Linked DNA regions of Alligator mississippiensis. The protein of the gene in region 1 interacts with the protein of each later gene in a pairwise test. Links are inferred from orthologs where the notes say so. Each region holds a gene or a part of one and is shown in the gene's direction. Other genes may lie near its edges.

Evidence for each region.
Region 2: the proteins of FHL2 (region 1) and GNG12 interact in binary tests that used the Homo sapiens proteins (3 or more experiments, as listed by UniProt). The link is inferred for Alligator mississippiensis from reciprocal best matches to the Homo sapiens genes FHL2 and GNG12.
Region 3: the proteins of FHL2 (region 1) and SAXO1 interact in binary tests that used the Homo sapiens proteins (3 or more experiments, as listed by UniProt). The two-hybrid records come from large-scale screens. The link is inferred for Alligator mississippiensis from reciprocal best matches to the Homo sapiens genes FHL2 and SAXO1.
Region 4: the proteins of FHL2 (region 1) and KIAA1217 interact in binary tests that used the Homo sapiens proteins (3 or more experiments, as listed by UniProt). The two-hybrid records come from large-scale screens. The link is inferred for Alligator mississippiensis from reciprocal best matches to the Homo sapiens genes FHL2 and KIAA1217.

Annotation. Positions count from the first base shown.
Region 1 is NC_081824.1:347,635,440-347,642,278, reverse strand, and holds the start of FHL2 (four and a half LIM domains protein 2), read left to right. Parts: upstream 1-3,821; 5' UTR 3,822-3,919; intron 3,920-6,839. UniProt on the Homo sapiens protein: May function as a molecular transmitter linking various signaling pathways to transcriptional regulation. Negatively regulates the transcriptional repressor E4F1 and may function in cell growth.
Region 2 is NC_081828.1:18,411,140-18,418,746, reverse strand, and holds the start of GNG12 (guanine nucleotide-binding protein G(I)/G(S)/G(O) subunit gamma-12), read left to right. Parts: upstream 1-4,594; 5' UTR 4,595-4,687; exon of another isoform or gene 4,688-4,690; intron 4,691-7,607. UniProt on the Homo sapiens protein: Guanine nucleotide-binding proteins (G proteins) are involved as a modulator or transducer in various transmembrane signaling systems.
Region 3 is NC_081826.1:178,421,184-178,428,116, forward strand, and holds the start of SAXO1 (stabilizer of axonemal microtubules 1), read left to right. Parts: upstream 1-3,932; coding exon 3,933-4,086; intron 4,087-6,933. UniProt on the Homo sapiens protein: May play a role in the regulation of cilium length. Stabilizes microtubules at low temperature.
Region 4 is NC_081828.1:187,252,970-187,260,054, forward strand, and holds the start of KIAA1217 (sickle tail protein homolog), read left to right. Parts: upstream 1-4,071; 5' UTR 4,072-4,409; coding exon 4,410-4,479; intron 4,480-7,085. UniProt on the Homo sapiens protein: Required for normal development of intervertebral disks.

The DNA of each region.
Region 1 (6,839 bases):
CACCTATCTCACCAGCCATGCCTTGATGGAACAATAAGTATGATGTTACTCAGGTGGGAGGCTGCCCATTTCCTACACCAATGCTAGGGGTTGCTGCTCCAAACCTTCCCTACATGGTGGCCCACATCTTGCAGATGGTTTATAAATGTTGACCTATGCCCTAGGGAGTTGGGTCGGCTCACTCCCTGTCGTTGTGCCTCTTGGCACTGGGGTCTGCCACCTGTCACTGCACCCCCTGGTACTGGGGGTCTGATCATCCCCTGTCACTGCACCCCTCCTCCCCCCACCCCCCCAGCACAGGGGCTTTGCACAGTAGTGTGCCCCAATGAGGCCTTCTCTTTCCCAAATAGCCTCAGCCACTGGATAAAACAATAACATAAATATGAGCCCCTGAGCTATAACATAATACAAGTCATACAAGCCACACTCTGGCTCCTTAAAAACCCCAAACTGCTCCTCGTGTGTTTAGCACCCTCCAGCTCTGGGTACCTTGTAGATGCCTGGAGCCTCATTAGCCACAGCAACAGTCTGGCCAGCAGCCACAGAGTTCCTGGGTAGTTCTGCCGTGCAGGAGCTCTCTTCCCCTGGCCACTTGCCAGAGACCTCCTCCTGCCAGCCTTGGCCCTGGGGTTTATATGTGCCCAGAGGCCTATCCCCTTCCTGTGAGCTGACTGGCCTGGGTTTTTGGACTATTAACCCCTACCCTCCTGGTGCTTGGTGTTCCTGTAGACTCAGGTCTTAAAAAGGCAGCCCTGCCTCTTAGTAACCGGACTAGGGTTCCCTGTTACACCCTGCTTGGTGCTGTTAATTGGTTCCTGAGAAACCAAGCATTAAGCAAAATGAGCATTAAGTGAAACCAAAAGTTTTTAACGGCCCCAGATGATGACTGCATGTGTTTTTAGTGACCCAAGATGGCAACCATGAGCATTATAATAAACTCACTGAACACTAAGTGGAATCAGGTATCAATTTTAAAATGAACATTATAGCATTAATGCATTATAGCATTATAGCAAAATAGTGCTAAGCAAAACAGACATGGAGCATGGTATAGGGAAGGATTAGAGTCACACACTTAGCACATAAGGCTTGAGGTGCCCTGTGCAGCACAGTACTAGAGTGAGGTCCTGCAAAGGGCCCAAGGACCAGTGAGTTCTTGTGGAGTTCAGTGGACCAGGGCCAACCACAAGCCTGTGGGCAGCCTCCTGATTCATTATTTTACCATCAAGACATGGCAGGGGAGGCAAGACTTGGGCACCCTTAGGGCAGAGCTGGCACAGTTGCGGAGCTGCCAGGGGCATCACAGCCAACCCTGGGGACCCCAACCCGTGACATTTAGTTTTAAACTACTTATCTTATTTAATTGGATTTTGTTCTGAGAAATGAGAAAAGACAGTTTACACAATAGCTACAGACACATGTGACATGCTAACTCTGTAAGAAAGAATATTTTCATAAAAAAATTATGAGATATTTCTCCAAGCTCCCTAATCTAATCTATCAGATCAGGCACACTGCCATGATGTCTGGAGATTGGGGATTCATACAGACAACTCCCATCAGCCAGAGCTATGTCATCAGCTGTTTTATCAAACTTCATTCAACTGACAATTTGTTCTGCCTGTGAACCATCTAGGGATGTTCTGTGCTACTATGAATTCTCAAAATGTCAAGTCCTAATTGGTTTGGGGGCCACAACCACACCTTCTGTAATGGCTCTGCCCCAAGCACAAATTGAGACAACATTATTCATTAGTGACCTTACAGTCAAGATTTCAGAACACCTGGCCCATTTTTTGAGTTACCCTGAAATACTTGCTGCTGGCCATTTCCACTATCTATATTATTTGTCATTTGAGTCTTTACCATCATCCAATCTGGGAAGATATCCCAGGGAAAAGTCCAGAGCAAAATTTATTTTTCTGTGAAGCTAAAAACACAAAAGTGCATATGGTTCAGAAAAAGAAATTATGCATACTTAAAGTCTGTATGCATGCCAACATTGAGTAAGACCTGTGAGAGAGAAACAAAAAAGATGTCCGTTTGGGAGTGATGTTCTTTGGAGTTTGGAAAATAAAGGAGAGAATAGCTTTGAAAACATTTATTTTGGGAAATTCTACTGAGACAGTCACTGAACTCAGTTTCCAGTGGCCAATTTCACTCAATTTGTTCATTTTGCTGCGTTAACATTAGGAATAACTGCAGGTAACAAGAACATGGAAAACCAAAAAAGAAATAAATATTGCCTCCTGCCACTTTAAGATATACTTGAAATCTGGTGTGCAAGAATACGGGGTATCCATCACAGTGCCTGGAAAAACAGCCAACAATAAAACTGAGCAAACAAAGAACAGCTTGCTGGAGTCTAAGAAAAAAAGAAAGGACAGCTCTTATTTATAAAATCTCTTCTGAGCAGCATAGGAAGAGAGTCAGAGTACTATTTCTGGGAGTTTCCTGATCCCATTTCCTCCATGGGCTGGAAATGATAGAAAGGGAACTTTGTCTTCCTCCCCTTTAGCCTCATACTTTATCCCTTCCCTGACTACCTTAGTGTGTGTGCTTGATTTCCCATCACAAACCTTTCCTAAATTACATTTCATTATAATACCCCCTGTTCCCTCAAAAGAATTTTAAGGGGCATTGCTCCTCTGTAAAACTATGTAGATTGAAAATCAGTTTCATTGGAGAGTGAGATGGCTAGCACCACATCCAAGAAGTCAGCAAGTGGGTATTTCTTTAAGCACCCACACTTTGCATACTCGTTTTGATATTTCTAAACTTAGCAAAAAAGGAGAGCCCTGGGATAATGAGATGCATGTGAGATCTGAAGAGGGTTCATGTCTCTTTAGGAAAGTTAGGGTGAGGTTCCAAATTTCAGGTTTACTGTGGGAAGCCAACTCCCAATCTGGAGCAACTGCAGTATCCCAACAGTAATGTAGCTAAACTGCAATGAACAACCCTATAATGACAAATAGGATATGCTATAACTGATGATGGCCAAGAGTAGTCCAGACAGATCTTCCACTGATGTCAGCCAGTCTCTGGATGACTTCAGGGCTGTGCTTATGTACAATTAGGATCAATATGGCATGCAGTCAGAGGCTTCCATTTGTAACGTCTCTGACTTCATGCTAAAGTTCCTTAAATGTATGTTCCTTCCTATGTGCTGATGTAACAGTGTCATCAAAGCGGAAGAATGGTCTAGAAGTTAAGCCTGTAGCCTGGAATTTGGGAGATCCAGGTTCAGTTCAAATGCCACAAACTTGTGTGACCTTGGACAAAGCCACTTAGCACCAGATCTTATTCCTCCTATTAGGAGCCTAAGTGCATTTGGTGCCCCATTACATCCTGCTAAGTCCCTGGAAACCCATCAATACATATACTTCTGTAGTGCTGCATCATCTTAAACCTCAGTCTAACATCACATCCACAGAAACTTCTTAGGTGTTTTTAGTAAAATTGAAGTTCTCACTCGATACATGAAAATGAACTTAAAATGAAGATCTGTTATTGTTCAGTTAGTTATAATAGAACAGGAGCAGTAGTGAAGGTAATGCCTTGATGATGCCATAGTACTGCACAGGGTGGGCAAGTATATATAAAGCTCAGGCATCCTCAGATTAAACAGAACAAAGGTCTGTGGTTGCTAAGAGCAGTGCAGCTCATTTCCATTACAGATCTTGTGCTACTTTAGGTATGATTCCTTAAAAGGCTAGCAGAACAGAGGTGCTATGGTTCTTATCTCCTTTGGATGGCTGGTCCTTTGGAGATATTGTATTTATAGCTCATCTGTAAACCAATGCCTGTCTAATTGCTAAATACATAGTTTGAGTAATCTAATAAAGCAATAAGCTTCTGCACTTGTCCTGTCCTCTCATTCTCAGACCAGAGAGCAGAGGCACCACCAAGCTGCAGCAAGGTAAGCACAAATCATTGTTTTTACTCCCCTTTCTGCCTCATTTTGAGAGGCAGACTTCCAAAATGCTCTACATACAGATCTACAGAAGATGGCATTCTTAGTGATTTGTTCATCTCTTCCTATAGATGTAGCATTTCACTTTATAGTTCCAGCCTAATGCTGGAAGCCAAACACTAAGTAACAGCTGTTCCTTATGCCTCTGCACTAATAATATACTGTCATGTTTTCACATTCTCAGAGAATACAACCATGTATAACTATAATCACTTCCCTGGACTCTGGGTATGAACAGGAAAGCGAGTGACTTCAGACAGAAAGCTTTTGATTAGTTTTTTTTTTTCCTCTATTAGCTTTTTCTCCTTTACTGATGAATATTTGGAAACAGAATGTGCATACAGAAACAAAAGAAAGATGAAACATATTGCTATTCAGCTATTTCTCCTTGACACCATTTCCTGATGGCCTTGGGAGAAAGAAAGTACAGATGACATTTACTGATGTCATGTTTAAACAACTATTTATTATGGATTATGGCAGCTGTGCAAAAGAAGAAAAAGTACTGATATGTTATGCAGTGTGAAAGCAGGAATTCTTCATAACCAGTATGTGAAATAGCATTAGCCAGAACTTGCAGGCAACTACTATCAGTTAAATGAATTATTTTTAACCTGATCTCAGAGTGAAGATTTTCAAATGAAGCCTAATAAAAGAAAACCTCTTTGGGAAAATAAGATAGTTTGGATGGAATTTGTGCTCACTTGATATGGTGTCTATGTTAGAAGGATTCTAAGCAAATACCTCAAAACTCCCCCAAAGTGGGAAAGAATCATGAAATTTCTTGCATAGATGAGGATTAAAGCCAATACTTTCACACTGTGTCTAAGGTTATTTATTATACTAATATTATGGGACTGAAATGAACATTTTCTACTTTTCCAAACATAGGTCGGAATGCTGTTTTCCACCCTTTTTGGGGAACGTGGAAGAGAGAGCCATATCTCTTCTCCATATGCTGCATCACAAATCAGATGTAATGTAGCCACCTTCATGCAGCACTATGACATCAGTTTTGGCACGTAACATGCGCAGAGCACAGTGGTATGGGTAACTGCGATGCTCCCTGTTGTGGTCCTAAGGCAGTACAGACAGGCCCTGAGAGTCTGAAAGCCTAGTGAAGTCTGCTGGAATGCTTCAGCTGGCTCCAACAGATTTGGATTGAGTTCAGTTTCTAAATGTGGATTCAGGTACCTAACTTTAGACACCTGGAGACAAATCCTCAGCAGGTGCAAACTGTCACCCACTGAGGATATTGCCCCTAAGCGTGAAAGTTTTAGAGCCAGCTGTCATGGCATAGTGCCAGCAGCACCTCTGTCTCTTCTTGCTGAGCGCACACACATGCAGGTGTTGGGTCTTGTGCCTTTATCTCCCATAGGGTGGAACTATGCAGTTCTTCTACTTTTACACCAGGTTTTAATTCAACGCCCACCATGCTTACTCAGGAGGTCTAAAAGGGTGCAAGTTGAGCAGTTATTTGTGAATCGGTGACCAGATGACCTTTTTAAGCCAAATCTTGTTTAATCCTAACAGGAGGAATATTGCATAATACAAGAGTAAAAGGAGTTTGAAAACAAGCAGCAGTGCACAAACATGTCTGTTTTATGTAAAGAATTACCATCCCTGGTGGATTCCTAGGAAAGGTTAATGTCTTCAGCTCTCCCAGAGGCTGTCAGTATGCATCAGTCTGTTTTTCAATAGTTATTGTTCCCCTTCTAGCTAGAGACTCTCTGTTTCAAATCCTTATATTCCTTCAGTCCTTTTGGCTCCCAGAATTTGCAAAATATATTTTTAATTTGGCTGGTGTCTAGAAGTAGCATCTTTATACCTAAAAGCACTGCTTCATATCTTTATGGACCTGAAGTCATTACTAGGTGTCTTACTTGGAGCCATTGTCCATTTCCTTCTTGTTTCTTCCAGTAGCCTACTATTAAATTAAACCAACCTATTCCTCAGCTTTGTATATGGACACTATGTTGAGATTTTTTTATTCTCCTTTAAAAACTGAGAAGGCATCTGTGGGAAGGAATTAGGTGTTTCATTTTACAGATGCTTTCTGTAAATGTTAGGCCAAAAATTAGTTTACATTTTATTTTACCTTGGAAAAAATGCCAGTGTAATGCAGGAATATATTTTTTAAAGCAGTACTCTTTGCTGCATTGAATTTAAAAGTCAAATTTGAAAAAGACCAAAACCACTCAATTTTAAAACTAACAACAGTTCTTTATTAACAACCAGCATTTGAAAAATACGATTAAATAGATAAATAACTTTATTTTTCCCTTCAAAATATCAAAACATCAGAACAAGAAAAACCTTTGATAGAAATTGCCAATAAGCTTAGAGAAGTAGATCCATTAAAATGGCTGTTTTACACAGAAAGTCTAAAAGGCTGTTTCTAAGGAAGAAAACTCAGAGAGGGAAAGGAATATGAACACATACTTTGAGTGAAATCTTGTCCCTGTTTTTTGAATTTTGCCCCAAACTTCCATTGATTTCAAGGAGGCCAAGATATTCCCTTTCCCTTTTATTTTAAATGACACTGAGTTTGTGTAGTTTTATAACAGTACAGGATTTTTCCACATCAATTTTCTTTTTGGAGGGCTAACTAAAAAATGTCTACTCACAGGCAGCTTGTATCTTAACTACCTGCAAGAGAGTTTTTTCAACTTGGATTACTTTTTACTGGCTGCAATATTTTATCTCTAGCTTTATACCATGGCAAGTTCAGTTTCATGCTGATAAATCCAGGGCAATTTCAACAATGTCAGTTCGTCATATAATGCTGATTAGGTCCAGGAGGCCTGACTGCATATTTGACATACTTCCCAGTTTTTTAAAAAGTGGGGTGACCATCTTTGCATGT
Region 2 (7,607 bases), on another chromosome or scaffold:
AATCCAAGTAGATGACATCCATCTCAATTCCTGCATCTAAGCATTTTGTGACCTGGCCATAAAAAGAAACAAGGTTAGTTAGGCAGGTTCTACCTGCTATGAATCCATGCTGGTTGCCCTTTAGCATTGCTTTCCCCACTGGACTCCCACAAATGTGATCCTTAATAATTTTTTCAAAGGTTTTCCTGAGGATAGAGGTAAGACTAACTGGGCTATAGTTACTCAGCTCTTCCTTCCTCCCCTTCTTGAAAATAGGGACCACATTGGCCATTTTCCAGTCCTCTGAGACCTGACCTGAGCACCCAGAGTGTTCAAATAGCTATGCCAGTGGCCTGCTATGACATTGGCCAATTCCTTCAGCACCCTTGGATGAAGATCACCCGGGCCTGCTGACTTAAACACATCCAGCACCTCCAAGTGTCTTTTCACTAGGTCAGTGCTAACAGCTGGTGGGCTGGTTTCCCCTTTATGCCTGTCTATGATCCAACTGGGAGATTTGTCCTGATCCGAGTTCAGGAATACAGAGGCAAAAAACTCATTGAAGCGCTCACCTTTGTCCCCCGTGTCTGTCACTAATTGCTTTAGTTTGTCTTGTAGAGGCCTATGCTACCCTGCACCTTCTTTTTGCTCCCTATATACCTGAAGGAATTTTTGTTGTCTTTAATTTTTGTTGCCAGGCTAAGTTCCATTTCTGCTTTGGCCTTTCTAACTGCCTCCCTGCAAGTGTGGGGCAAGTAGGTATACTCCACCTTGGTAGCTCCCCCGCTTCCACAGCCTATATGCCTCTTTTTTTGTCCCTAGGCTTTTCTGGACCTCCCTGTTCAGCCAAGAGGGTTTCTTGGTCCCTTTGCCCCCTTTCGTGGCTCCTTTTGCACCCATAGGATTGCTTTCTTTAGGAATGACCATTCTTCCTGGACTCTTATCTCACCAGTTCTCCTGTTCTTCAGTGCCTTGCTACTAGTCTCCTGAGCACACTGAAGTTAGTCTTTCTGAAGTCTAACACTTCTGCTCTACTGTTTATCTTTCCCACCCTATGCCGGATAGTGAATTCAGCCAAGTGACGGTCACTATCCCCTATGTTACCTTGTGTCAGTAGATCTCCCACCAAATCATCCCCTGTAGCCAGGACCAAGTCCAGTAAGGCGTTTCCCCTACTGGTACTGTATACCTCCTATGTTAGGTGAAGGTCCTGTATGCAGGTTAAGAACCTATGTGAATGGCTGGATCTAGCTGACTGCTCCTCCCAGCAGATGTCTGGGTAGTTTAGGTCACCCATGACAACTACGTCCCTAGACTGTACTGCCTCTGAGAGCTGTCTGGAGAATTCCAGGTCCAGCTCCATCTCCTTCTAGTACAGGTTGCAATTGTTTGAGGATTTTTGATATAGTTTCCAGGGAGGGATGATATGTCATAGCCAGTGGTGTGCGATTCATGCAGGTTTTTTCTTCTGTACTGCAGCAATTCTTCACATGGTATCCAGTTGGCTCTTCCAATTGTGCAGTCTATCTCTCTGGAGGAGTGTCCTTGTTGAGTGAAAGCCTTTTTGAGTTTGGTGAGGTGGTAATCCCAGATGTTCTTCTCAGTGCAAATTTGGTGGTATTGGAGGGCTTGTCTGTATATTACAGCTGTCTTGGTGTGCTTAGGGTGATAGCTGTTTCTGTGCAGATATGTATGTTGGTCCATGGGTTTCTTGGATACAGTGTTTTGTATTTTACCATTCTGGATAGTGACCATTGTGTCTAAAAATTGAATGTTGGTGTTGGAGTATTCCAGAGATAGTCTGATGGAGGAGCGCTGCATATTGAATTTCTGATGGAAATCAATCAGACATGGCAGGTTTTCAATCCAAATGATAAAGATGTCATCAATTATATCTTAAGTATAGCAAGAGTTTGATGGTGCAGTCCTTGAGGAACTTTTCTTCCAGGTTGCTCATGAAAAGGTTGGCATACTGTGGGGCCATTTTGATGCCAATAGCTGTGCCCATGGTCTGGAGGAAGTGTTGATTATCGAAAGTGAAGTTGTTGTGTGTGAGGATGAAGTGTATAAGTTCGGTAATATCTTTGGGTCTGTACTCTGAGTTGCAATCTTGTTCTTGTAGATATGTAAGGCAGGACTGAATGCTATCTTGGTGTGGATGCTGGTATATAAGCTGGTAACATCCATGGTGGCTAGGAGGGTGTTGCTAAGAAGGTGGTCAATGCTTTTAAGTTTTCATAGAAAGTCTGTTGTGTCTTGGACAAAACTGGCTCTTCGGGTGACAAGATGTTTTAGGATGGATTGGATGAGACCTGATATTTCCTCAGTGAGGGTTCCATGGTTAGATATGAGAAGCCTGCCTGGGTTCCCTCATTTGTGGATTATAGGGAGCATGTAAAAAGTCCCTGGGTTGGGTAGTGGGGATATCAAGTTCTGTAGTTTTTCTTGTAGTTCTGATGGAAATGATTTTATGGCAGTTTTGAGTTCCAAGGTGAAAAGGGGAGTAGGATCATCCGCTAGTTTTTTGTAGTAGGTGGTGTCAGAGTTGTCTGTTGGCTTCTTTTATGTAGTCTTCATGGTTAAGGACAATCTGCTGGTTTTATTACTATTTGGTGGTTAGTTTTTAGGGATTCTATGGCCCTTCTCCCTGAGAGGGAAAGGTTGTTATGGTGGTTTTTGTTGTTGATTATTTCATTGTTTATTCTTTCTCTGAAGCAGTTAATATAGTGGTCAAGGTTTGGATTTTGTCCACTGTGAGGTGTCAATTCATATTCATATGGATGTATGCACACATGATGGTGGTGATCACTGATGTGCATGTGATGCATTACACATTACTATGCATCTTTAAGAATCATGCCTTCTGCCCACTAATCCATTTTCCCAGAACTATTTCTAATTCAAATGTTTGCTCTGCTTCACAGACACCTTTTTGTAATTGCCAGCTATATGTTGGGGGTTTTTTTTCTTGCAAGCAGGGAATCATGAAGCTATAGCCATTTAAAAATAAATTTAAAAAGATATCAACTTTCCATTGGGACATAGAGTATTTGACATTAGCTTTGGCAGACTGCATAATGTTATACCATATGAACAAAACAATATTTTGTCTGGAAAAGTCAGTTTAGATAATGTTGAAAACTGTCTAAATATGTTTTTTCTTCCTGAATCCAGTACAATTGGACTCATGGTACTCAAGGAACACAAGCTGTAGTACCATTAACATCTTTCTTCTGTTCTTTATGGTTATAAGCATATTTGTTGCTCCTACTCCTCCTTCCTGCTTCTGTTGTTGTTGTTCTCGGGGTTTTTTTACTTTATTCTTGTGGCAGGGATTTTGACTTCACCAGACAGCTGTTAACATGCTTGGAGACTACTGGAAAGAGATAATAATTAAAAAAAATAATTCTTTTTACATATACGCATTCATGCAAAGATGCATTGTAAAAATTTAATCTTTATATTGCAAGGTTGTAATGTTAACAATCACTTGCATTACAGTACAAACCTGAACAAAGAGGAAGATACTCAAATTCCAAGTCTTTTCTGGTAGGAGAGATTATATATATATTTTTTCTCATGTGTGTGAGAAATTTCTAGGTAAAGATTAACGGATGGTCCTGAATAACGATTTATCTCGTACATAATACAGCAATAAAAGTGGTATGTCATGTATACGGACACATTTTATATAAAAATATAAGGAAGTCCTTTCAGATCTCGCAGAGTTTCACTAGCTCCGATTCTCGAGGGCTGAGGATGTTTGACAGCCTCAGTGAACTTCTGTAAAAGACGGCGTGTTGTGATATAAACTGCTAGTCCTGGCACATGCTATGCCAGGGTGATGCTGGGATGGCATGTCATAATTACTCACAGCAACTTCACACTATCGCAAAGAAACACGTTGTTCCCCTGGGAGGACCTTCATAAAACATGATTTATGTCACGGCAATGGCAGCACCGGGACGATAGTGGTGGAGTGACATGGGCTTGTGGCCTGGTGTGATACATAGCACGGGCCTGTTGATTTTACGAACCAATGTGTTACACTGACGTGCCTCGTCAAGACTGGACCGGACTCTGCCATGCCTAACACCGCCGGTGCGAATACACATCAGTAGGAGAGTTAGAGTAAGCCCGTGATCCTCACCCAGGATGTGCGAGGTCCTTGCAAAGGCGCCGCGAGGGGCTTGGGAGGGCGCAACCGGGGGCGCACGTTTGGCTCTGCTCCACCTGAGGGTTCACACCAAACACCGGGCCCCGCTGCCGCCGACACGGCTCCTTCTCAGCGACCTGCTGCCTTAGAAACTGTCCAGCCCGCAGGTGCCAACCACCCCGCTTCCTAGTCACAGGTGCCAACCACCCCGCTGCCTGGTCAGGCCAGCCCTCCTTCTGGTCCCACTTGTACCTCATCCCCATGGCGGCCTCTTGGCCGTGTTTTCGCTTCGCTTGTCAAGTGAGCCCCCACCCCGGCCCAGGCCCGCGGCCGCCGCCACCGCCTCGCTTTTTCGTAAGTGCTGAAGCCCCCGCCCGCCCCTCGCCCGCACAGCGCCGCCCGGCGGGGGCGGGGCGGGGCGGGGCCGGGCCGGGCCGGGCCGGGCTGGGCGGAGCCAGCCGCCGCCGAGGAGGCGGAGGCGGAGCGGGAGCGGGTGAGAGGTCGGCCTGCGCCGGTCGCCCGTAGAGACGGTCCCGGGCTGCGGCGGCGGCGGTGGTGAGTGGGGCGGGAGGGCAGGGGAGAGCCGGGCCTGTGCCTGCCCCGCCGCGTTGCGGAGGGCCCTGCGGGCTGCCCGGGGCTGAGGGCGGCTGCGTCCGCACCTGCCCCACGTCGTCCCCGGCCGCGGCCTCGGCCTCCGGGCCGGGCAGTGCGCGCCCTCGGCTGCCGGCCCGGCCCCCTCCCCGGGCGGCCCAGCCCAGGCCTGCCACCCCCGGGCGCCGAAACCCCGGGTGATTTGCAGCTGGTTTTCTCGCCTTCCCGCCGGCTGCGAGCCCGTCCCCGGGCACTAGCAGCTCTGCGAGTCGGGTGTGTAGTCCCGGCCCTGGGAGACACCCCCCCCCCCCATATTTCCCGAGTCCAGCAGAGATTTGCGCACGAATTCGGGAGCCCGAAACTGCGGCGCCCCCATCCATCCTGGTTGTCACCCGTCACCCCGCACCGCCGGGCCCTTCAGTCTCCGCGTGTCTGGTTTTTCCTCTGAGGCGAAGGAGTTGGCTTTCTTCTGGGGAAGGTTGTGTTGGTTCAGGCCAGCCGAAGGCAGGACGATAAACGGCAAATCGTGTCACATTAGCGCATCGGTGTGGAGAGATTATTGGTGATATTATCGTATTACTTTGCAGAAAGCGCTCTCGTCGCACCCTGGCCACAAGCTGCGACTTGTCCTGCGCACAAGTTGGTTTTAGGGGTGTAGGTTGTAGCCGTGGTGGTCCAAGGGCTTAAGCAGACGAGGTTCGCTGGGTAAATCTGGTATCTTTTATTAGACCGACTCAAATCATTGGAAACATTCTTCCAACAATTTGAGTCGATCTAATAAAAGATGATACCATGTTGGTTTTAGCAAGTTTTAACGTGCGGTGTTATATTCCAAGGCTAAAAATGTTGACTCCTGAAATAAGTTTTTTAACCTGCATTGGGATCGTGTGGTAGGTACCTGTCAGTATTGCAGCTTAAATTTGGTGTGATTTGTCACGTTATTTGCCAGTATCACAGTTAACTTAGAGCCACTGGTGTAAGTAAGAAATTGTAGAATAAGAAGCTGCTATCTTGAATTTAACTTAATTATGAATCAGTTTGGAAATTAAACTTCCTGAATAAATGAATAACCTGCACTAAATAGTAGCATTTCTTGCTAGTCCAATACCAGCTAAATGAGATTAAAGGACTGGTATGCGGTTAAAGGCTTTTGAAGCCTATATTTCTTGCCCACATTGCATATATTACAGTAATTTAGAATCTCTTTAATCAATGCTAAATGACAAATATGTTTCATGAAGTGCTTTCCTTTAGAAATTAAGTATTGCAATAACTGTTAATTGTGTAAGCATACAACTAAGAAGTATTACAGTAACTGATTCCTGTAAACTTTTACTTTCATAATTGTACATTATTAGGTAATGAAACACTCAATACTTTCTCAGGACTCCTAACTTCTACTCGATTTAGGAGAAGATGCTGTCATAGGGTCAGAGGAAAGTAAAGCTGGAAGGGACCTCACAAGGTCATCTAGTCCAGTGGTTGTCAGCCTTTTTTGTACTGGGACCCATTCTTAAACATTGATGGCCAGTCCTGACCCAGTGCCCCTCACTCCTGACCTGCTGCTGAGTGTGTGAGGTGTGTGGGGTGGGGACGTGGGGAGTCCCAAGCAACCCCTCGCAGGCTGGATCTCTGCCAGCCTGCAAGGGAAAAGCTACGGGTTCCCTTTTTAAAGTGTGTCTGTGACCCTTTCATGTATTCTTGTGACCCACTCTTGGGTCATGACCCACAAATTGAGAAATGCTGATCTAGTCCAGCCCTTGCTGAAGGCAGGTTCATCCCTGAATAAACCATCCCAGCCAAGTGTCTCTCCAACAAGTTGGAGATTCCCCAGTTGTTCTAGGCAGCCTGTTCTAGTGTTTGACCACCCTCTCAGTCAAAACCTCCCTCTTAATCTCCAACCTAAATTTCCTCTGCTGAAGCTTGAGTCCATTGCTCATATTCCTGGACTATAGCCACAGAGAAAAGTCCATCTTCACCTTCTCTCTAATTGCCCTTCAGGTATTTGAAGACTGTTATCGTCCCCCCTCAGTCTTTTCTTTTCCACGCTGAATAACCCTAGCTTTTCCAGCCTTTCCTCATAAGTTTTGCTTCTGACACCCCTAATATCTTTTGCTCTGTGCTGGACTCTTCAAGAAGGATGTAGACAGACTAGAAAATGTGGGGCCCAAAACTTGACAGTTCTCCAGGTGTGGCTTTACCCATGCTGAGTAGAGGGGGAGAATCACTTCCCTTGATTTGAACGTGACACTTTTGTTAATGCAACTCAGTATACTGTTTGTTTTGGTTTTTTTGCCAACAAGAGCACGCTGTTGGTTCGTATTCAGCTTATGGTCGGGGAAGGGGGGATAGGGGGAGGGCGCTCTGCGTCCAGTCCATGTGTGAAATGTGGCCTGCAAAACCATGGTCTCCAGCTCGTAGGGCTCCCCATGGGTCTGAAAATTTGGCAGCAGGGGAGCAGTGGCAGTTAACAAATTCCCAAGCCCTTCGTGGTGGGGCTGGGGCTGGGGCACACTCCCTCCCCTCAGGCTGGATCGGGCAGCAGTGCCCCTGATGGCTGGGTCGAGGCCAGGCCACAGCCCCTATCCCCCATGTTTGGGTTGGGGCTAAGCCACTTCCCTTCCCCACAGCTGGATTGGTGCCTGACCATGCCCTCTCCTCTTGTGGGGCTGGGTCAAGTCCCCTTCCATGCAGACAGGTCAGGGTTGGGCTGCTCCTCCCCTTATGTGGCTAGATAGGACTTTACCTCATCTGCCCCAGCCCACTGGCCACAAAATTTGAGTACTGCTGGTCTATTGTAACTCCCAGTTCCTTATTTGCAGTACTGCAGCCTAGTGTCTCTGATGTATAATTGGGAGGGATGTACACAAGCTTTCAGCTA
Region 3 (6,933 bases), on another chromosome or scaffold:
AGACACTGAATTTTATCAGAACCCCCTGGAGTCTGCCTTTTCCTCTGAGCTGCAGTTTGGAAAATAATTTAGAACATGTGCATGTGACCTTGTACATACATCAGTGGCTCCCTCAGTATATTTGGGTAATCCGACACTTACTTATTCTAAATTGGCTAACGTTGAAGTATGGAAGCCCCATCAATTGAGTAATTTTAAAATTGGACTGGACAGTGCTTTGGAAAACTTACTGTGGGGGAACAATCACACATTGGCAGGAATGATGCACCAGACATAAAACTGCATTTTGTTATTTTTTTTTCTCTCTCACTCCTATGGGCTAATTCCTGAAATCCTAACTCGGCAAAACATCCTTAATAAATGTATATAATTTTTTTTTTTTAATTCAAGCTCCTGTTGAAGTCAACATGTAAGGCCTAATTTTTCAGGATTTAAACTGAGTAAGGGTTTTTACCCAAAGCTTATATGAGACAAAAGATAACTTGCTTCTCTCCTACATGACCTCTGAAGCTGAGCTGACACAGCAGAGTGCACACTGAACTCTGTATCAAGGTGCAAAAATATGTTTTGCCTTATTCACTTCCCAGAGACTACTTGTTTTCTGCTGGGTGCCCTTGCTTAATGCTATAATTGAGCTGCTTAATTAAAAACAATTATCAACCCAATTTTATTACTTCTGGAGTTGGATGGAGAAATGTTATGACATTCAAGTCCATCATAACAAAGATTTATCTGCTTTAGAATGTGGTTATTCACACAGATGAAGCCATTTACATTTTATGGGTCACCAACTGTAAAGCTCTCTGGGGCAGTGGTTGTCCTACTTCTTTGTGTCTTGTTTGCATAGCACCTAACATAAAATAGTCCTCATCCTTGACTGAAATTTCTGTATGCCATCATAATGGCAATAGATACAAGAACATGATGATGATGATGACAGCTTGGAAACGTATCTATTTCAAAAGCAGGGTTAAATCTACCTTCTGGTTCTATTTTTTTTCCCCAACATCCCTTGGAGGTTTGGGGGTTTTACATTTTCATTTTTTTTCTGGGCATGTCTGCACTGCAGCATAGTATAGAGTGGTAGTTTTCAAACTGAAGTACATAGAGATTTGCCAGGGGGCATGGCTTATGATTGGCCAATGCATGTTAGGTAATTGCGTAGCCTCATGCTGATGCTGGTGTGAATTCCCTTCCCAAGGAATGAACATGCAGAGAGGTGTTGGGTGGGGTGGATACAAGCAGCAATATTTTGCAGGAAACTCCCAGGTGGCTAATTTACCCTGCTGTCCAAGGGTTTTCTGCCCTTTCCAGCTGTGTGACAGGCCCACACAAAGAACGGAAACCACTGATTATACAGTGGAAACAGAGAACCAGAAGTATATACCAAGTGCTGTATAAATACATTAAGAAAACTGAAAATATTTTCTCTCTAATCTCTTTTGAGTAATAGTGAATTTGGGGGTTACTTGTAAATATAGTGGATAGAAACTTTTTTTCAGATAGAAAAGAGTAATTTTTAAAAAGTGCCTTTAAAATTACAGATAGCATTAGTCAAACTTTGGTCAGCAGCTCTGAAATAAGTACATTATTTTATGGAATAATGTACATACATGTCTTATGGAAACCATCAGATTTACTATCACTGAAAAATGGAGTGAACCTGACTTTAGATGTGTTTTGTTTAATTTAAAAAGGAAGTTTGTTTAGATCAACACTAGATATAAAAAATTTTAATTTCCTACATAGTGTGCCCTAGGGATCCACACTGAGAGATTTATTGCTTATAATTCTGGCTAATCATGACCTAATTCTATGACCAGCATCAACTTAAAAATCTTTGTATGTGTATACATACACACATGTGCATATAAACACAAATACAAATAATGCTATGCATTACGCTGCTTTGAAAAGGCATAACCGAATAGATGGTTTTCATGGAGCTGGATACTAGCATGGTTTGTAAATAAAGCTTTGATATCAAAAGCAAGTAAAACAATAAATATGTCATTTGGCTGTAGACTGGGATGCAGTGCCTCACAATTTATTGGAGCAGGGGTCAGGAACTACAGCTACACTGATAGTGTGTTTGACAAGCTGACATGGAGCTGCATAGAGGAAACCATCTGGACTAGGTACAGATAGTCAAAAAGCCTAAGGCTGAATTGATTCAGTCTTTGCAAATTAGTTTAAACTGCACAGATTAAATTGAAACAGACATTTACCTTTGATTCAGAAAACACAGCCACATGCCTACAGTGGTTCAGGCCAGAAACCAGGGGCATTGGAGCATAGCTCTCTGGCTGTATATTCACTTCTTTTTCCTGCTGCCCCTGAGGTCTCTGGGATTTGCAGTCCAGAATTACAGCAGCAGGACTCTGCAGGGTTGCTCATTTCTTCCTCTTCCTGCTCCAGGTGCCTCTGGGATTTGTAGTCCACAGTTGCAGCCAGCAGTACATTTTAAGTGGGGGAAGGGGTGTTTTTAACCTCCCTCCCTGGCCCCAGACCCTAGCAGGGGTTTGTCTGAGGGGGACAGTTCCACCTCCCCCCCCGCTTGTCAGCCAGCCCTCACTGCTCCAGCTAGGGAGCAGAGGGGTAGGGCCAGCCCTGCTCTCTGGAGCAGATGGCACAGACCAGCCCAGGACTAAAAAGCATGCTGGGTGGCCTCTGATTTAACTTGAACCAGCAAGAGGTCTGGGACAGAAGTTTCATAAACCAGTTTGACCCAAATCAGTTAAGTCCAATACTACATTCAACCAGGTTTATCTTAAACCAGTTTCAGTCATTTTGATACTGGTCTACGTGCACTGAGCTTCTGTTCTGACAGGCTTAAACCAGTTTCTGATCACTTAAACTGGTTTAGTGTAACTTCTGTCCTTAGCCCTGCAGTGCAAAACAAGAAGTTTTATTGGGCTAAAGTCCAGGAAAAATGCATATTCTTGAGCACCATTTGCTTGTAGTTTGTTAACAAACTGCTCATGTATATGTATATAGAGAGCACCCTTGTAACAATGTGTATGTGTACACATAGGGTGCGTCCAGATGAGTGCACATGTGTGGCATGTGGTGCTGCACGGTGGCACACACTGCACGCGCTGCATACATCCCCAGGGAAATGCATGTTCCTGCTCATGGAGATGTGCCCATAGGGTGCATCTACATGAGCTATTATTGTGGTTCAATAAAGTATGGCACAGTTCATGCCAGAATCATCTGCTTCTGGTCTCAGTCTTCACCTGCGCCCAGGACCACAGGAGTTTAAGCCAGGTTGGAGCAGCCAGCTTGGGTGGTCAGCCTCAGACTCCAGGTGGTGGCATCAGGCAGTGGAGGGGCACAAGAGTGCCAAAACTGTGGACCAGTACAGATGATCCCCAGAGCCTGCTGCTAGCCCAGGGCTGCTCTGTCTTGGCTCAAACTGCTGCAGTCCCAGTCACTATCCACATGTGCATTTCTGTGCAGCAAAGAGCTCTGCTATAGGATAGTACTATCTTACAGCCAAGTTAATTAATTAATTTACTGTACCTTAATACTGGCACATGTAGACAGTGATGCTTTATTGCAGAGCTAATTGGTCATCTCCTCAGTAAAGTACACATGTAGATGCACTCGGAGAAAAGCAACATACTAGTACCGGTCCCTGGGCACATTCTGACCCAACTTTAGTGTTGTGCTTAATTTGGAAGAAAAAAATCATGAAGGAACATAAACCAGCATCATGATATAAATCATAGTTCTTACAATTAGTTTTATGGTGATGTTCAAAAGAAAAATCTGGAGTTGTTGCAGAAAGGCCTTATTGCACAACAGTCAGTTTTTAAAAAGGTTGTTCAAGGCAGTGACGTTTCTTCATTATCCAGCTACATTGTACATAACAAAGAGGGATAAACCTCCTTACTGACAGTGAGTTCTTCAAAGACTATGCAGAAAATATGGATATATTTTGCCCAGAAAAAGAGTCTGTTAGTAGTCAGGTCAGCTTCTCTAAAATGATGGTGTCATGCAGAGTTGAAGACATTGGTGATGATCTTAAACTACAGCTTCAAGATGTTGCTGACAATTTTGTGGCATATTCAGTCACTTCAGGTAAGAGTACCAATGTTACAGGTACTTCTCAGATCCTTATTTTCTATTAGTGGAGTTGAGAAGACTTTCAAATACACAAAAACGTCCTTTGGCTTGAAAGACTGAAGCAGAAGAGGAAACGGGTTTAATGCAGTGTTCTCTTCATTTATGTAAATAATATAAAGTGGGTATCTCTCACTGGTGTCACTACAGATGGTGCCCTATCCATGTTGAGGCAAAGGATTGTGGACTAAAGCAGAAAGTTATTGAATAACACAATGTAGCCACAATTTTTGGTATCACCACAATGCCTACCTATCAAGAAGCTATTTTTGCTCAGGTTCTCAGGGTGGACCATTTCATGAACATTGCTGTAATATATGTGTGAACTTCATCCCATCTAGAGGCCTCATTCACCAGCATTTTAAAGCTGTGGGTGACCGAGCTTGGGATCCAGGAAAGGGGCCGGCTGGGTTGTAGCCACAAACCCGGCACTTGCTACCGCTGGAGTAGAATTAGGCACAAACGCATACTGGTTCAAACAAAGATGGCTTTTACTTACACTGTCACGATGTACAGCATAGGAAGAAGGTTAACTTCAAACTCCAACTTCTGTTACAATCAAACCAAGGAGCTCTTATAAGACGAGATATCTTTAACCTGGGTCTGAACTCGAGCATGCAGGACACGGGGGTATGTCGGGGGAGGTCGTCAATGGGGAGTCGTCGGTGGGTGATCAGACCGCCAGGTTCCACTCTGAGACGAGCACGGAGTTCTCCAACCTGGGCGGAAATGACTCCAACCCTTTATACGACTAGCGAGCCAATTGCCAGCCGCCACGTAGGAATAATTTGAAACCGGCCAATTAGAGTATGCACATTTGCATATGAGTGGCGGGAACTTTTCCACGCCAGGGCTCTCCACCGTGCCGAGAATTCCCCTGTCTCGCCGTGCCTTGTGCTAGAAAGTTCCACTGTACCAAGGCACTCAACTGATCAGTTCTGACATGCCCCCTTGCCGACGGTACAGCTGGAATTTGAAGCACATGCACGCCGTCTAACTCGTCACTCCTCTCGAGGGGTAACCGGCTATATACAAAAACATACAACGAAAAAAGTTCGTCCTCAACGGATCGAATCAAATAGTAACCAATACAAACACAAACACACGTAAGTACATTGGTTACAAAAAGTTCAATCACGAGGAGTTCAGTAGGTGTCATGGCAAAGTCGCATGTCAGACCTCTGCGTCTTCTCTTCCTCTCTCTGGGTCCGCCTCTGACATGTATCTTGAACCTCGAACAAAAAAAACTGCAAAGAAAGCATTCTTTGAACAATTAATTAACTTATATTACACTATTTATATGGAGTCGCACGCATAATGGGACAGCTAATCAAATCCCCTTTGCGGCTTCCCACTCTCTCCCAAGCACACGAAACAAGTGCTTGGACACGATTCAGCTCTGGACGATTCTCGCACACCCGCAGATGCACCGTCATGAATGATGATCCACAAGCGGACGCCGCGTGATCTTGTCCGTGCTCAGTGAGACGAGTCTTCTTCTTCCCCTTTCAGCGAAAGATAGCCGCTGACAAACCTTTCACCTATTCCGCCCGCCTGGTGATAGGCGATGTGGGCGCCTAGCTCCACAGCATTCGACACGTGGTGTCTCCCACTGTGCCAGGGACAGCTTCTAACTAACTCTAACTCCATCGGGTCTTCCCCAAATCCCGATTCCGATCCTGATCCTGTTAATCCTGATCCTGTTCGTGACGCCATGTGGGTGACCGAGCTTGGGATCTGGGAAAGGGGCCGGCTGGGTTGTAGCCTCAAACCCAGCACGTAGATGGGTACTTGCAACCGCTGGAGTAGAATTAGGCACAAACGCGTACTGGTTCAAACAAAGATGGCTTTACTTACACTGTCATGATGTACAGCGTAGGAAGAAGGTTAACTTTAAACTCCAACTTCTGTTACAATCAAACTGAGGAGCTCTTATAAGATGAGATATCTTTAAACCGGGTCTGAACTCGAGCATGCAGGACACGGGCGTGTGTCGGGGGGGGGGGGGTCATCGACGGGGAGTCATTGGCGGGTGATCAGACCACCAGGTTCCGCTCCGAGACGAGCACGGAGTTCTCCAACCCGGGCAGAAACGACTCCAACCCTTTATACGGCTAGCGAGCCAATTGCCAGCCGCCACATAGGAATAATTTGAAACTGGCCAATTAGAGTATGCGCATTTGCATATGAGCGGCGGGAACTTTTCCACACCGGGGCTCTCCACCATGCTGAGAATTCCCCTGTCTCACCGTGCCTTGTGCTAGGAAGTTCCACTGTACCGAGGCACTCAACTAATCAGTTCTGACAAAGCCTCTTTAGAAGATGCTGAAGCTGACTCTGGATATGTCACAAGTTTATTTTTAATTACTTATCTATTTTTAGATGTATATCCCACCCTATCCAAAGGCTCAGAACATCTTACAATAAACAGTCAACCCACAGACAGGATTTCCCAAATAATGCCACAAAACCTCATCACCTTCCCCAACCACCACCTCCCTGCCTAAACCTCCATGCAAGCAAATCCTCCTGCCAATCCCAAGCACACCTCCCAATTGCCATTCATGTCCAGATACAAGAAACCTCTTCCTGCCTCTCACACTCACCCCACTGCCCCACCTGACCCCCAGGAGAAGATCCCTCAGCTTTCCCCAGAGTGCTATGGTGTTTCACAGAAATTGTATGGCTAGGCATAGACACCACCTTGAAATGCTTTTTTTTTTCTTTTGAGGAAAGAAATTTTTTGAATTTCTGAATAAAAAGGGACAAGATTTTCCTTAGCTAATGATACTGAATGGCTGTGTT
Region 4 (7,085 bases), on another chromosome or scaffold:
CCCCAAGGGATGACGAGGTCGAATGGTCACAAACTACTACAAGATCGTTTCAGGCTGGACATAAGGAAGAATTTCTTTACTGTCCGAGCCCCCAAGGTCTGGAACAGCCTGCCACTGGAGGTTGTTCAAGCGCCTTCATTGAACACCTTCAAGATGAAACTGGATGCTTATCTTGCTGGGATCCTATGACCCCAGCTGACTTCCTGCCCTTTGGGCGGGGGGCTGGACTCGATGATCTTCCGAGGTCCCTTCCAGCCCTAATGTCTATGAAATTAGAAGACTGAGGTTCTGCAACAACCTTCCAGAAAAGCAATACAGGTAAAAAACCTCAATAGTTTTAAGATGTAGTTGATCAGTTTAGGCAAGGATTATGTAGGTTGTCTGTGGTAAAAGATGACTGGACTTGATGATCCAGGAGTCCCTTTCAGTCATACATTGCTATATTAATTCTGGGTTTCAGAGTAGTAGTTTTCTATACCCAACCCCCAATCATTCTGTGGTCTATTTTCAGGGGATTCAGACCCCAAACTTTCAACATTGGTTCTTTGGCATTAGATCAGGAGTCTAAAACAACATAGTGGGGCAGGGAAGGCAGCAACAGGGGCTTTCCCCCTGCAGCTTAGCTTTCCTTCCTACAGCCCAGTTGTGCAATCACCCAGCCTCAATTGCCCAGCTAGGCTGCAAGAGAAGAAAGTCGGGCTGTGGGGAGAAAAGCCACTGTTGTGGGGGGCCACCCACACTGTGCAGACCCCAGGTGGGGAGCCATGGCTAGGGCAGGGGTGCTCTGTGTGTCCCCCCCATCCCATTTGGCTGAGAGGGTGGGTCCAGCATGGGAGTGGTGCTGGGGTGATTACTCAGCTGGGCTGCAGAAAGGAAGGCCAGGCTGTGGGGTCCCCCCTGCACTGTGCCGATCTCAGCTGGGGGGGGTATGGCTAGGGAAGGGGGGCTCTGTTCCTCCACCCTTGTCCCCCTTGGCTGAGAAGCTGGGACCAGCACAGGGGCAGGGATGGGACAATCTCCCAGTCAAGCTACAGGGGGAAAAGCCCCCACCACAGGGGAGCCCTGCGGTGGGGGGAAGCCAGCTAGGAGGGCCATGGCTGGGGTGGAGAGGCTACCATGACTACCAGCTCTGGAAACCCAGGTCTCTGGGCAGGGGAGGGTTTGCAGTCACAGTAGGGGCTGGGGGCATGTGCCTCACAGCCAATCAGGGATGACCCTGCTCAGCTGCCAGACTGGGAGGGTGCAATAATGCCTCCCCCTCCAGGGTGAATGTATGTTATGTTTGCTCATGATCCAATATTTTCAGTTTAAAGAAACCCACAAAGGTTGGATTGATTCTGCCTTGGGTTTTTCTGACTGTCAGTACGTAGCCTTAGCGCTTGGGATGCTTACAAGAGTTCTGTTTTATTGTGTTCCAATTCCATCTGACTGTTCATAACACCTACAAGATCTTCCAGAAGTTGGTCATTAAGGGCATGGTCTCCAGTGTCACAGAGCTCAACTGTAATTGAATTGGATGCCCACCCATCATTTTTCGGCCTCTAATGCAAAAATCAGTGTGTGTGGAATGTACTTTCAGGTTAATAAAATATTACAGTAGAAAAACTGTACATCTCGCAGTATGTTTTTTTTTAATTGCTGGATTGCTAGAGAATCATTTTTATTCAGAACAGTTAGCGTGTTATATTGCAGATCTTAAATAGCATGCTAATATTTAGGGTGCTTTTCTCTTTCATATTGGTATTGTGTTTGGTGTTTTGAATTGCTGGAAACTTATGCAGTTTCTAAGAAGTGTTCTTGAAATTATTTAGTAGTTTAATATTGTTAATGGTGATTACAGGATTTGAAGTTTCTCTATTTTAGATGAGGAAAATTTACTCAAATCCAAGATGAGGGTTTTTTCCCCAGTCACCATCAGGGGGCAGGGGAACAGGACTCATCTTGGATTCAAGTACCTGCCCCAGGCAGGTAGTAGCTCAGCTCTGGCTTAGGACCCAGGCTTGGGGCTGAAGCCAGAAATGAGCTGCTGTCTGCCCCAGGCCAGGATAGCTCGGGGGGGGGGGCAGGGGAGGGGGAAGGCAGACTTACAGCTGGCAGGACTGCAGTGGGTGAGGAAGGGAGGAACCTGCAGCCTGCCTCATGCCCCTTCCTCCTATTCCTAGACCTGCCCCTCTATTCTCTACTTTTCCCTGCAACTTGTTCCCCCCCACCTCCTGCTCCCCTGCCTCTCCTTACCTTTTGCTCCAGTCCCTCCAGCCCCGACTCGGGTTGGCTGGGACCTGCAACCACTTCTCCCTGGCCAGGCTGGGCTGGGGGTGCCACTGCTGCTGAGTGCCCCAGAGGACCAGAGCTGCAGAAGAAGGTAAGGGAGGAGGCAGAGAGTTGTTGGGGGAAGGCACAGACAGGCAGAAGGGATCAGGCACAGGCATGGGGAGGCAGTGGGTGGCAGGGCAGGCTGCAGCAGAGGTAGAGGGTGAGGAGGTAAGGGGGCCTACACAGGCACAGAGGGCAAAGGGTGAAGGAGGCAGGTTGCAGGGAGGGCGGGTGCTAGGGAGACAGGGAGCTGAGGGGTCAGTAACAGGCATGGGAGATGAAGGGACAGGCTGTAAGGGGAAGCAGGGGTACAAACGAAGGGCATGGAGGGACAGGCACCAGTGTGGAGGGAGAAAAGGGTGAGGGGGAAGGCCACAGGTGGGGATCAAGGGGTGGGGAAGCAGGGAATGGGAGTCATACAGAGGCATGAGGGCAAGGGGTAGGAGGCAGGAGGCAGGCACAGACATGGAGAGGCATGTGACAAGGGACACATGGTGGGACATGCAGGCAGCAGGGGTGGCAGGCACAGGGGGCCTTCTTCCCTTGTTTCTGCTTTCTCCACCACAGCAGTGGATGGGACAAATTTAAAACAATCTTCCACTAATTCGATTCTACATGGAGAATTTTAACAAATTTATAATTTTTCATTTATAAAATCTAATTGTTGGAGAGGTGGTCATCTTAAATCCAAAGTCATCTTGGATTCAGGAAAATACAGTATGTTCTTTGAGTTTCTTTACTAAATTTAAGAAAAATTACAAAAATTCTTTGCACAAACGTCTAAATAAAAAGGTTGACCATTTCATCCAGATACTCCCACAAGAAGGAACCTCCAAAAGCAGTTCCCTTACAACCTTTCTTCATTGTGGGGGTGTGAAGTACTTACATATCCTGAAGTAAGGTTGGAATTCCCAGGCTTACCCAAGTGACTTTTATTTTCTTTTAAATCATAGCTACTATATTACCTATCCTTTCAGATATAGCTCCAATGTAATAGCTGATTTTAATGGGAAACTGCATATATTTTTAGAACCTTTGGTATGCTTTATTTTTAAGCCTGTTCAGAACTCTTGGATGGATATGCCTTCTGCTCTTGGTAATGTGATGTTCCTTAATTTTTCAGTTTGTTCCAGCACATCTTCTTTTTACTCATTTATCTGTGCTTATGCCTCAGCTTCACCACCTTAATAGACAAGATTCCAGTTTGGTAATCTCTGTTGGATCATGTGGTGAAAACTGATCCTCCTCCGTCACTTGCTGTATTATCTTGCAACCTAGTGGGTCTACTGCTTCTCCTGCAGGCTTCCTGCTTCCAATCTAATTAGAAGAAAATTTTTGATTTATTGTTATATCTTTGGTTATTTGCACTTCAAAAGTCTGTGCTAGCCAACGTTCCATCTTCCATATAGGTTACTGTAGTTTATGCTCATTTCTGTTGGCTTTGCTAAAAGGGCTGTCTTTATATGTTTTAAATTCATTCTACTTACTCTGTGAACAGCTTGAAAGTATTCACCAGAAAACAAAACCTCGGAGTGTTTACATAATGAATTACTTTTAAACTGCATGTTAAAAAAGACAGAGAAGCATTTATCAGGAATGTTGTGGGCTCAGTGGTTATGTGTTTAAAAAAAATATTCTGTGGAAAGGCTTTGTCCCATGACAGAGATTTAAAAAGCGAAGGATTCGGATTCCAGCAGAGATTCAGGCCTGTAATCATGTTTGAAATGTTCTCTTTCATAATGCTACTTGGCTGCAGGATATGTGTAGTTGGGGGCTGTGGAAAACAAGCAGGCTAGGATCTTGCCTGCAGAAAAGACCATCACCTGTTGGGGCCCACACTGAGAAGTGCTCAGGACTATTTCAGCAGCAGCAGTAAGCTGCAGCAGCAGCCTCTGGAAGTACTGCCCACCATTCCACTGAGGACCATTACCGATCCATAGCGAATACTTGGACTTCTGGAATGCAGTTCATTTTTTAAAGGAACTTTGTGCTGTAGAGGAGGGTGGTTTCCTTTTTTTCCTGGAGGCTGTTTCTGGTAGTTTTTCAAGCTGCAGTTTTAAAGTTTGAGAAAAAAGCTTGTGCAGTAGGCAGGGACAATGGAGGAAAATGAAAGCCAGAAATTTGAGCTGTGCCTGGCTTATTCAAAAGACAGCAGACAGATGAAGGGTAAGTAACAGAATCAGTCAAAGCGGGAGTTACATTTGAACATGTCCCTCTTTGCTGCTTTCTATAACTAGATACTGAATGCATGGAATATAAGTATATTTCTTGTGCGTGTGAGTTTAGAAGAGTTGTTGAATTCTTTGTCTTTAGAAGTTTAATGTTATTTTAGAGAGGTTAAATAGCAAAAGAGGAAAGCATGGTATATTGGTGTCACATTTTATAACACTAAGCAATGTGATATGGAGGGTGCTGCTTCCCTAGGGAAAGATAAATAAATGCAGTTACCCTTTAAATGCTCTATATTCCAGCTGCAGGCAAAAAGTAACCCCTCATTTTGTAAAAGCAAGCCAGATTACATTTTTTTTCAGTTTATATTTTTTAAATCAGAGATTCACGGTAGATTGCCACAAGAATAGTTTACTTTGTGTGAAACCAGTTGAGTTTATTTTGGAATGAAGCCAAGAAATTATGAGCATGCTTTTTCATGTAAGGTCAGCTGTGGTGCATTTGTACAATTACCGCTGTACTCTAGGTTTGCCCAAAACTTAATGAAAACTGTTTCCTGATGAATTTTTATGTGGGCTATTCCATTCAGAATAAAAAGCATGATAAATACCTAATTTAATCTGAATCTGCATATTCTAGTTTTTTTTAGAACGCCAATCATGGTAACTTTTGTGAACATCCTCTGTGCATGTTGTATGGTGTTTCTCACTGAGACTTCAATTAAATTTTTGTGCTCCCATGTATGTAATAAATATTATAATATATTTGTGTATAAATTCTAACTGAAAAATATTTTGATATAAAAATAATATAATAGTGATTTTCAAATAAGTTGCATATTCTGAAAAAACATAGAAACTCCAGTGTGATAATTCATATTGTTTGACATTCTTTTGGATCATCTTGATAGCAAAAAGAAAAAAATAGCAGTGAGCAGCACATCCCATGTATGTGTATGTGTGTGTTTATGTTTAGCAACAAGGAATTCACTCAAAAAAATTTAATAAGAAAAGGAAAAATCACCAACAACCTGTTTCTTCGATATTAATCATGAACAATTTGCTGAAATTCAAGTCATATTAAAAGTCAGAGGTCTGTCTGGACCAAACCCTGAGTTCAAGAACTCTTGATCCAGTAAAATTCAGATCCAAACTTGGTGACTTGGGCTCACATATAGTAATTGTATAGAAAACTTTGTAACCATAGTATATTATAACAACAAAGGAGGACCAGAAAGTCCATTTTGAGACGGTAAAAGCACGCTGCTATTGGCTACAAATTACGGGTGCATATGGACATTTGGGGAGGTTGGGGGGAGGTTAAATCGCATTAAAAATGACCACCCAATATAACTTAGTTCGCCCAGGTGCTGACCTTACACTTAGATCCCTAGTTAGGACGATCTAAATGTGAGCTTGTCAGGACAGTTAGATGGATCTAAAAGTGGATGGCCTGATCTGAGTTAACACTGCTTTTGAGATAGTCTAACTTAAATTGGGTTGCCCATTTTTAGATCTATCTAACTGCCCTGATCTGCACAACCCCAGGGCTGGAAAAGCTCACCCACTGACCCTAGCCCTGGGGCTGCACTTTCCTTAGCCCCTCCCTGGCACCGATGTTTGTTTCTCCCCCAGCCCCTTTCCGGAGCCTACTTGCCCCCCGATCCTCCCTAGCCCAGCCTCCCACTAATGTCCCCACCCCCCACCACCATGCCAAATTACCTTAGATCAGGTGGCCATTTCTAACTCAATCTAACCTCTCCCTAATGTTCCTGAATGTCTGTGTACACCCTATAATGAACAGGTTTTGTTTTCTGAAAGAATATATGTTCACTATTGGTTGTTTCAAGACCCGCTTTCATAGTTTGGTGTTGGACAAGTGCACATTTTTTATTTCTAAAAGTGCTTTCAAATGTGTTTTTGCTCCAACTTACAATATAGAAGTTATGAAATATGTAGAAATAGTTTAGGGTTATTAAGCAAAAAGACTACCATGTTTTCTGTAGACTGTCTTTAGCTTGCAGTGCAGCTCCTTGGAGGGTGAAACTTCAGTAACTTAGCTGCATGCTGAAGCACTGCAACAAATATATTTTGAGCTAAAAGACTCAAGTCACAGCAGGTAATCGACAGATTTTTATGCTGAATTATCTTGTACGTTCCACTAAAAGGTAAAGATGATGGAACTTGTTCATCAAGGTTTATTCACTGTAGTAATGGATAAACCTGAAAAAGGTTGGAGTTGGGATTCAGAAGCACCTACATGTTAAGAAGTATACAACATTTTAATCCCATTTCATACAAGGCTCTTGTCCTGCTATTTAAATAATCCTATTCTGCTTCTCTTCACACAACATCATAGCAGTAGGTCCAGCAGCCTGTCAATGTCAATATGTCTCCTTTTCAGAAGGCAGACAGGCTTATCAGATACCCATTTGGTGGTGGAGGTGGGGGTTGTTTTTGCTTTTTTCTCCTTTCAAGGGACGATCAAATTAATCTTTTTTCTTCCTCTTATTCCCTGCAGTCATCTGATCCATTTACACATTCCAGTTATATGTGGGTTGTCTGGCCCACTCTTTTCTAAGTGCCATTCTACATTATATGCCT